2 linked regions of the Caenorhabditis elegans genome follow. The protein of the gene in region 2 purifies or fractionates together with the protein of the main gene of each other region. This does not show direct contact. Each region holds a gene or a part of one and is shown on either strand. Other genes may lie near its edges.

Evidence for each region.
Region 1: the proteins of D1086.5 (region 2) and hrde-1 fractionate together in Caenorhabditis elegans (co-fractionation; one large-scale study listed by BioGRID). This does not show direct contact.

What each region holds. Positions count from the first base shown.
Region 1 is NC_003281.10:4,171,800-4,177,727, forward strand, and holds hrde-1 (Argonaute protein hrde-1), read right to left. Parts: upstream 4,361-5,928; 5' UTR 4,355-4,360; coding exon 4,246-4,354; intron 4,195-4,245; coding exon 3,984-4,194; intron 3,939-3,983; coding exon 2,985-3,938; intron 2,936-2,984; coding exon 2,411-2,935; intron 2,364-2,410; coding exon 1,415-2,363; intron 1,370-1,414; coding exon 1,179-1,369; intron 1,130-1,178; coding exon 970-1,129; 3' UTR 538-969; downstream 1-537. Other genes in the region: C16C10.4 (putative histone deacetylase complex subunit SAP18), read left to right, coding at 1-28, 129-266; C16C10.13 (Rab3 GTPase-activating protein catalytic subunit), read left to right, coding at 4,984-5,100, 5,145-5,414, 5,459-5,767; utp-11 (putative U3 small nucleolar RNA-associated protein 11), read right to left, coding at 5,867-5,928. UniProt on the Caenorhabditis elegans protein: Argonaute protein which is involved in the endogenous small interfering RNA (endo-siRNA) pathway and is required for RNA-mediated gene silencing (RNAi) in the germline.
Region 2 is NC_003283.11:14,088,347-14,092,131, forward strand, and holds D1086.5 (T20D4.11-like domain-containing protein), read right to left. Parts: upstream 2,014-3,785; 5' UTR 1,952-2,013; coding exon 1,820-1,951; intron 1,769-1,819; coding exon 1,664-1,768; intron 1,145-1,663; coding exon 968-1,144; intron 924-967; coding exon 816-923; intron 761-815; coding exon 605-760; 3' UTR 545-604; downstream 1-544. Other genes in the region: D1086.19 (uncharacterized protein), read left to right, coding at 5-358; him-5 (High Incidence of Males (increased X chromosome loss)), read left to right, coding at 2,535-2,580, 2,765-2,863, 2,951-3,081, 3,127-3,355, 3,405-3,497, 3,724-3,785.

The DNA.
Region 1 (5,928 bases), on a different chromosome or scaffold from region 2:
AGAGCGTGGCATTGATGACAACAAAACTGTATGTGATTTTTGACACCACGGAACCATTAGAATTTTATTTGAATTCGGAAATAATATCTCCAATATTAAATTCGTTTTGATTGAACTTTGTTTTTCAGCTACAACAATGCAAATTCGAAGTCGGTGATTTCGTCGACGTCGCGATTTCCTTGCCAAGTCAAGGACGTCGTTTCAATAACCGGGAGCAGGGAGACCGTTTCGATCATCGTCAACGCCAACGTAGTCCGATTCGCTAGACGCCTAACTGTGTGTTAAAATTCAATGATACTCTTCTGTATTTATTAATGTGTCGATTCTTTTTTTTATAACGTGCAATGTAATATTCTGCGTAAATCATGTTTTCCTTTACAATTGTTCAACATACTTAACAATTTACAACAAAGTTTACTTTCACATTTACTGGTCAAAATTGCAAGCTATTTAATTTTAAAAAAGTTTTGTTTTGTGATTATGCAAAAATCGGAAAAATGATCGCGATCAAACTGCTTTCAGCGAAAACTAAAATTTCTTCTCGAATAATTTATTGCTTAATAAATGATAATGGACGGGGGGTAGAGCAAGTAAGATTATTGAAAATCGAAATTTCCAAAAACGTTCTAATTGGAAGTTTCTTTCGCCTTCGAAAACTCCTAATAAGAAAGTTGGAGGAAATTCGCACAGAAAAAAAGGCAGGTAAAACAGGAGTATCTACTATTCAAACTATGTGTCAATGTACTCTACTCTAGATTAAATTACAAAAGGATTCTTAGTTGAAATTATAAAAACATAAAGGGGAATACGATACAATTATGGGGAAAAATGTAATAAAGAATGTTCAGAAAAACAAAAGCATGGGAATTTAAGTACTTGTATAGAGAGTAGGTATAGGGTAGTGGATAAAAAATGTTGGTAATATGTAAAGGGGGTGAATACGTGACAATAAAAGAGAGAATCTCGGGATTACGCCCAGAAGTTTCGCTTCGGAATGGTCATTCCGTTCATTGCAACGGACATCTCATCAACAATGGCTGCCGCCAGTTCTTCTCGCATGTCTTCGTTGATGAGTTCCGAATGGTCTTTGATGATGCGGTTCTCAACTGCTTGCAAATTCACGTAACGCCTGGAAACATTTGTTTTTGATAAAGATTTTTAGGAAAATAAACTATTACTGATGAATTTTGTAATTGTTGCGTCCTCGTTTAGCCAGATTTTCTGCCGCATAAAGAACATCTGGAACCGATGGTGGCTGGTAGGACACTTGATGACCGAATGCGCGGAAGTACGTCAAGTGCATGAGCTCGTTTTTAGACCATTTGGCATCATTGACAAGGATCGTGTACTTGCACGGACGAACGGTACCCTAAAAGAAACTTTCATTTAATAAATTAACTAATGAACAACTTACAATAAGCGGCGTCTGTGAAGACAAAATGAACTCGTCGTATCCGTAGGATGTCAGGACATTCTCGACACATGTTCCAGATGGGATGTTCTGATCCGTCGCTCTGTTGCCACTGATACATGATGGAAAAACGCGAGCATGTGAAGCTCTTTGTGCGATGATCACCACGAGATGTGGACGGTATCCGGGCTGAATCTTGTCAAATGTTCGTCGCATCTCTTCGACTTCTTCCTTAACACGATTGAAGTTTCCTTCTCCAGCACCAACACGATAGATGACGATTCTTGTTGGGAGTGTCTTCGAATGCTCCTTGTACGATCTGACACACTTTGGGAAGAATTCATCAAGTTTTTGAAGTTTGTACTCCTTTTGGGTTTGAAGGTATGTGAAGCCTCCGAGCTGCGTCGAGTTGGTCAGGGAATACGAGACTCCAACAACTGATGGCTCACCATCCATTTGTGATCTACTGCGATCGAACAAAGTGCGTGATGCGCCATGAGAAATCTCGAATCCGATGAATTGTACATGTTCGAGAAGTTTCTTTCTCAATGTTTCATTGTTTGAGCACACTGCTTTTCCACGCACAGCATTCGGGATCTCGACGAAGAAGTTGGTTCCACCACACTTGAGGTTGAACTTTCTCATGACGTTGTCAATCGTTTGGCGTCCACCTTGACCTCCCATCATTTTATCGACAGTCTGTTGACACAATTGGATTGTTTGCAGGCCAATCGATTCCTCAAAGTATTTGAGTATGTCGTGAACATCCGGCTTCTTCTCCCTTGCTATTCCAACAAGAATGTCCACTCTATCATCGAGCCATTTCTTCATCAGATTTTGGATAGCAACGGAATCACTGGAGTTCAATTCACGGATGGACCAATCTCGCGAGTCCTTTTCGACCGTGATTCCATTGTCACGACAGAAATTGGACAGCTTGTCGCAGAAATCTCTGAAAATAGAATATTATAAAGCAGAAGAAAACAACGTTCGACTTACTCGGCCTGTCTCATTTGGATACAGTTGTCAAAGACAACAATACCAATTTTTCTGATCCGTGCTGGTTCGACAAACTTGTCCTGTGTGCGGAACGCTGGACGGCTCATGTCAGGCATGTAAGTCTGGCCCTTGAACTTGATTTGAGCTGGTGGGAGGAGCTTCGCAGTCATTTGGATTGGCTCAGTCGACATCAGTTTGATTCCGAAAGCATCCATGTACTTATTTTGTTCAAGCTTCAAGTTGTCGCGGAGAATATCTTGAACCAACTTCACATGATGCTGTGGCATAGACGCATTTCTTCCTGTCATCGCCGATTGTACTGTCGGGCTCATCTTGTTGACCTTGATCCGCTGGCCTGGAGCAATTCGAAGCAACTCCATTGGGAAGAAAGATTCATGTTTGAATCTTTTTGAGACGACGAGAGGAAGTCTCGGATATTTCAGCTTGATGTTGTACTGCAACAGGAAATATTCCGCCACGGTGACCTCGCGTTCTCCCTTGTCGTCCTTCATCATGAACGAAGTGCTACAAAACAAATTGTTATCACGCTGATGATAACTATCGAATAACTTACTTCTCAGCATTGTTCTCGGCAATCGAGGATACGCGAATAAGGTTACCCTTCAAGTGAGTGCATTCCACGTCCAATCCTTTGAGTGCTTCTTCAATGCATCGCTTCGTGTTTCCTCTTTCGCCAAAAGCGTGTTCCAACTCAGCAGCATCACTCGGAGAGTAGTCCGCTCCATTTGAAGAACCACTGTCTCGACGGGAATCGTACATGTCGCGACGTCCTCTGCTTTCATCTCGGTACCTGTCGTTGCCACCTCGGTTTCCATAGACACCACGAAAGTCTCTCGAGTCGGAACGGCCGCCACGGTATCCACCACGAGAGTCTCGCGAGTCACTTCTTCCGTATCCGCCTCTTCCACCGCCTCCACCTTTCATTTCGGATAACTTGTTGCTTGAAAACTTGATAACTGATGTATCCTTGTAAAATGGAGAAATCTTCGTATCAACCGTCATGAAAGCTTTGCCACCTCCGTTTTGCGATAGACGAGATACTTTCGCAAAACCTGAGCGGATCTCCGAAATAGCATCAGGTTCCGAGTGTGGCGGAGAAAGACGTGGGAATGTGGCATTACCAAATTGTAAGTAATCCTCATTGTTGAGCTTTTGTGAAGTGACGATTTCGATAATACGAGTCAACTCCATACGATTAGCCTCCTCCTGGGCAACTTCTCCTTGGGTGTACACAAATCCGGCAGGTTTGAGAACAACAAGGTAAGAATCGTCCTTTCTGCGAGACAACTTCGACACGAATTTCCATTCTTCCTTCGGGAAGTCATCGATCGTCAACGTGACTTCTTCTTGATCGTCACCAGTGTAGACTCCCTCCGGAAGATAGAGAGTCGCAGCGCAGTCGTAAGCAAGGAAGTGGTGACTCTTTCCACTGAACTTCACCAGAAGCTTGTCATGTACTGTTCTCATGATGTAGTATTGTGCCAAGCGACGGTTATGGGAATTGACACTGGAAAGTACTGATTTTGAGCGGTTATACAAATTAAATACTTACTCTCCCTTGGCCGCCAAAACTCCAAGGTTGGCATTGATCTGTTTTCCGTTGCTGGAACAGACGATGACGTCAACTTGAAAGCGTTGGATCTTGTGGGGCATATCCTTGATGTCCACTGGAAACATGTTCATCTGAACATTCATCGTGTCCATCGTTGCGAAAGAGTCCCGTCCAATTGGTGTTGTTGACTTCGGAGTAGAGAACATTGGTGCTGAAAAAGACAATTTTGAACTCCTAGGCATAATGTTGATTCTAAACGAACCACTTCTCTTTGACGTCGGTTCGTCCTTGTCCTGATTCATTCGGTTGTCTCGTTTGGGAATCCTGTTGGAAGACGAACTTCCCATAATTTTGTCGAGCAAGTCGGCCATGTTTGACTGAAATAAGAAACGATGAAACGAAAAAACGATGCGAATTTCAGATGTAATTGAGATAAAACAGTGAAATTTACTAAGAAAAAGTAAATGAAACAAAAGCTTTACCGTCCTGATTGAGATTTTCAAGTAAAATGAGAAAAAACGCAAGGAGAGAAATGAAATGAAAATAAATAAATTTTAGGCCAGAAAATTCGAGAAAACACATCCGTGGCGGTACAAAAGTTCAAATCGTGGCGCCACATGCGTTGTAACAATAGAGCGCGCTTGCATTGTGATCTCTTCGAAAAATTTCACGTCTAGAAATCGAATTTTATTAGTTTTCAAAAACTTAACGACTATTCTGAACATTTCAAATAAAATAATAGAAAACAATATTTTTAAAAAATTAATTTGTTATGCTTCAATAAATATTAATTATTTAATTCATTTCTACAATCAAAACGATGCTGGTTTTTCAAGTTTTCTGCTTTTTCGTCTCTTTTCTGGCAAATTCAATAAAATGCGACATAATTCATCTCAAACATATGCCTAAAATTCTGAAGGAAAAGGCGTTGCTCGAAAAGCCGATAATTCCAAACAGGCTGCTCCAGCCATTCCTTAATGAATCAATTGCTCATATTTTGATGAATCCGTTAGCTGAAGTGAAGACGAATGCGACGGAAATTAAGTTTCTAAATTATCTAGAAGATAAAAAGAAATATGAACCCGATTGGACAATTCGAGAACTTGAAGATAAAATTGTGAGCTTAATAAGTCATTTTTCAAGTCTAGAAAAGAGTTTCAGAGCCTATCAGAACTGGTCAAGACTTGTCTAGAACACCACTCGTTTCTAGATCTTCCAGATTTATTTCCTCGTTTTCTGTGTGGTTTGTTAGCAGTGTATAGGGAACAGAACACGACAAGTCTTCCATATACTGGATCAATATTTTCTCGATCATCAAATGCAGTAAAATTTCTAAATGATCCAGAGAATTATCCATGTCATTCTATGAATATGACTGATGTGGTGGCACTGGTGCCAGGAAGAATATACAGTGGATGTGTCAAGGATACGGTATCCTTTTCAACAAAATTCTGAAAATCCAGTTATCTGTTTAGGACCCTGAAAAATTCAGTCAATTCGATTCCGTCTTCATCATGTCTCATCCATTCCCAGATGTTCAAAAGTGTCAACAACCTGTGTCAGTGATGCCAAAATGCGAACTGCGATCGATGCTAGTGCAACACAAGATATTGTATCAGCAAAAAGATTGTTGCTGCGATTCCAACATGTGTGCCGTGCTCATCTTCACTCAGACCTCTTCACTGACTCCGCTTGTTTTAAAGACGATTGATTTGACGAGAGAGACGATGGTCCCGTTTCCAGTGACAACGACAGAGATCTCTTTAAATTCAATGTTTCAATAAAGTCAACAATTTCAATAACGCATAAAATGTAAACTCAACAGCAAAAATTAACAAAAAAGAAGATTCAGAATAAAATGGGATTAAAAAAAAAGAAATTAACTACTTCTTTCGTTCATAGGTCCATTTGTAGACGGCTGCTCGCATAGCTTTCGCCTTTTTGA
Region 2 (3,785 bases):
AAATATGGATTACGGTCTTGAACTCTCCTCTTCATCCTCTTCATCATCATCGGAAGATGAGGCTATGCCAATGAATTCCTCGATGAAAGTTCACCCAAGAATAATGCTCAATCTGGCAGTTTCAAAGCGCCGGAAGCTTCTCGACATGAAAGAACGCGACTTTCGATGCGAAATTCTTCAGAACTATTTTATTCAGCGACTGACAAGGCACTTACGCGACTGTCGGAACAATAGGATTGCTAGAAAAAGATCGAGAAGTTTCGTGATACGTGATAGTCAAAGCTCAACACTGTCCCGCGATGAGGAACAGAGTGCGCCAAGTTCCAAGGTTACAAAGAAAGCCGACAAGAAAGAGTAAATTTCTTGCTTCTGTGATCCTATAGTTTCTTTCTTAATGCCTGTGTCATTTCTTTAATAAATCTAATAACTCCAAATAGTTTTGTAAAAAACAACAACGTGGAACTACATATAATTAGGTATACATAAATATTTTTTCAATAATCTAGCATCTTGAAGTTTAATGGAATTCTATGTAGCACGAAATTTTTTCAAATTGTTTTATTAAAACGTGCCAAAAAACCATTCGGAAAAAAATGAACTGAAATTAAGCCGAAATTTGTGTTGAATTACTTCCGAAATCCCTTTCAACATCTTCTTTTGTAATTATCCCTCTTTGCATGCTATTATCATCTCCACGAACCCGATCTTTATATCGAAGACGTCCATCGCAAGCACGATTGTAGAGACGAATATTTATGTGCTGTAGCATTATAAGTTAAAGAGATCTGCAGAAATTAATAAAATCAAATTTTCACCTGCTTGTACAGACTCAAAAAATCAGAACCACAATGCTTCCCAACATCTTCGAGAAAGCATTTACTTTTTGTCTGGATGCTCACGCAGTCGACTTTGTCCGGATTTTTCTGAAATTAAACTTACAGAATCAATGCAAAATGCTAAAGAGTACATTTTTGAGATAATCCTTAACACATTCAGAAACTTGATCCGGGGTTTTCTCAATAACTTCCTTCAATGTTTTCTCACAATAATACATTGGTCCTAGATGAAATACGTCATCAATGCACTTGTCCAGTTCCTGATAATTGACAAAATCCATGTAGCATCCCGTATTTTCCATGCAAACCTGAAGGCATTGTGAAAATGTCAAAATGAGATTTCAGCTAAATTTAACTTTTTAAAATTTGAAATTTTGAACCACTTGAAAACATTTTAGAACGATTATTAAGAGCTCTTATTATGAAATTTGGTTGTTTGGAAGTGTTTTGAGTGGAAATCTGGAAATAAAGGTACTTGTGTATTATTTCCCCTCAGTTTTTAAAATAAACTTTTAAATAAAAACGTGTGGTGTTTTTGTATTTTTAGGCTTAGGAAATAACCCTTTCTAAGCCTAAAGAATGAAAATGGACATCACGTTTTATTAAAATGGATAATATTAAAATGAGGGGAAATAATACAGAAGTACCGAAATAAATTTTATTTAGCGGAAATGGAGCACACTGAGCTAGAAAAATATTGTTTTTTAAATTCAAAAAAATATCCAAAACCCCACTTATTTGAAAATTTTATCGTGAGCTGAGATCTCAAGATCTAGCGAATACTTTTACATGCCTGTATTTCCATATGTATTACAAACAAATCTTACAAAATAATCATCACAATGCTTTCTGAGTTCAACAAGACTCATATTTTTGGTCTGTTCCGGATTCCACGCAATTGAATTATGCCTCCAATAATATTTAGCACCTTCCTTAAAATTATTCAGCATTTAAAAAAGCCAAAGACACCCATCAAAACTTACAAATAACCTGCAATACTTTATATTACTACGTCCGGGAAAAAATGAACATTCTGACTTGAAATAGTTCACTCCATTACTTGAAAAAACAGTTGAAATTGGAAAAAGTAAGAGGAATATGTTCTGGATTAACATTCGGAGCTCAAAATGAAAAGAGCAGCAGACAAGCTAGAAGCAAAGTAGAGAGAACTAAGATTGTGGATGTGACGTCAAACGTTTTCAGCGGCAGCTGCTCAGCAAGCAATCAGGTGCCATTTGTCTAGTTGTTCGATTTGGTGGATTAACTACATTTATTACATGGAAACTGTACAAATATTAATTTTTTTTCAGCTGAAAAGTCTGTTATATTCAGTAATTACGGTTTTTTTTTCAAAATTATTCTCTTACAAAATCCTCAAATATGAGCAAATTCGCGGTAATTAATGAACCATTTCCAAAAGACACCATTTTTGTTGCAAAATTAGTTCATTTTGTGTAGAATTCAAAACTTTCCGCAAGTTTAAAACAATGAAAGTCTAAAAAACAGTCTTTCTGTCTTAATATTCGAAAACTACTTCCTAAATCCAATCCAGGCCTGATAAGTTTCTACAAAACAAAGCAAGTCGTTGCGATACCATCTTCTCGTTTTGCGATATGCGCCTTTAAGATCGTACCTTAATAAAGCAAACTGTTTTTCTCCCGAAAAAGCATACTTATCATCTGGTTTTTTTTGCTGAAAATGTCCAGAATTCGTTCTAATAACGACAATATTATAATATTAACAGGTAATTTATTTTTTTAATCTATTATATCTTGCTAAATTTGAATTCGTCAGTAGCTTCAATGCTAAAAGCGGAATAACAATTTAAAAAAACTTTAATAAATGTTTATTTTTGAGGAAAACAACTCTATAAACACCAATTCATTGTTAAACATTACAAATGAACATTTTTTGGGATTTTTTTTCAGATGAACAACGAAAAACAGTTGGTCGCATCGCCGGTCGTTCACAGAACAGAAATACATCGAAAAAAATTGCCGATGGCCCATATTTTTTGCCGAGATACAGTTCGTTTTAATATATTTTATGTATTTTTCTGCAGGAAAGCTTTTACATCAATGTTTTCCAATAAAAAACTAAATAGTTAATTTCAGGAATTCGAGACAATGCAGAGAGATCAGTAGGTGCACGTTTCAAGAGTCTTCCACAAAAAGAACAAGACGAAGTAGTGAATGAAGCTTTTTCGAATCTTCGAGAATATTTGAAAAAGAGGGAACCTTTCTATGTTAGTAATTTTTAAAAACATGGAATTTTACTGATTATTTTCCAGGCAAAGCTCCGGAAAGCTAACTCCAAGTATTCCTCAAAGCCCAAAGAAAGAGAAAAATCTGTCGACTCCAATGACGAAGCTGATAGACGCAATAAGGGAAATAAGAAAACTCAAAAAAATGCGAGTAAGAACTGCCAAATTGAGAAATCGTCGAATAATTCTGGAATTCTCAAAAAAAGTGGATCAGGAATCAGCGTGGCTTCTAAACCAAAAAAATCAGTTGCATTTGGTACGGAAATCCAAGAGAAGTCAATTTTCCAATATATTACAAATTTCAGCACCAGGAGTATACGAAGATTTAAGCACCGACGATGATTTAGAGTTTTTAAATTCTGTGATTGTCAACAGTGATCGTCCAACTTCACAGTGTGGTAAGTAAACTCACATCAACATTAATGAAAGACACGATTTAATTTCGCGAAATTTTGCAATTTTGGCTACAATAATACGGTATTTAGTCTAGACACGACAAACTTGTTTTAAGCACAGGTTTAACGGGTGTGCGCCTTTAAAGATTACTGTAGTTCCGAATTTTTTTCTGCCGAATCTTCATCGAGTTTAGTTTTCCGATTTTCAGATAAATTGTTTTTGTTCCAGATAATCCGGCACGTAGAATGTGTGGAAGACCGCCAACAAAACACAGGGACACTGAACAGTCA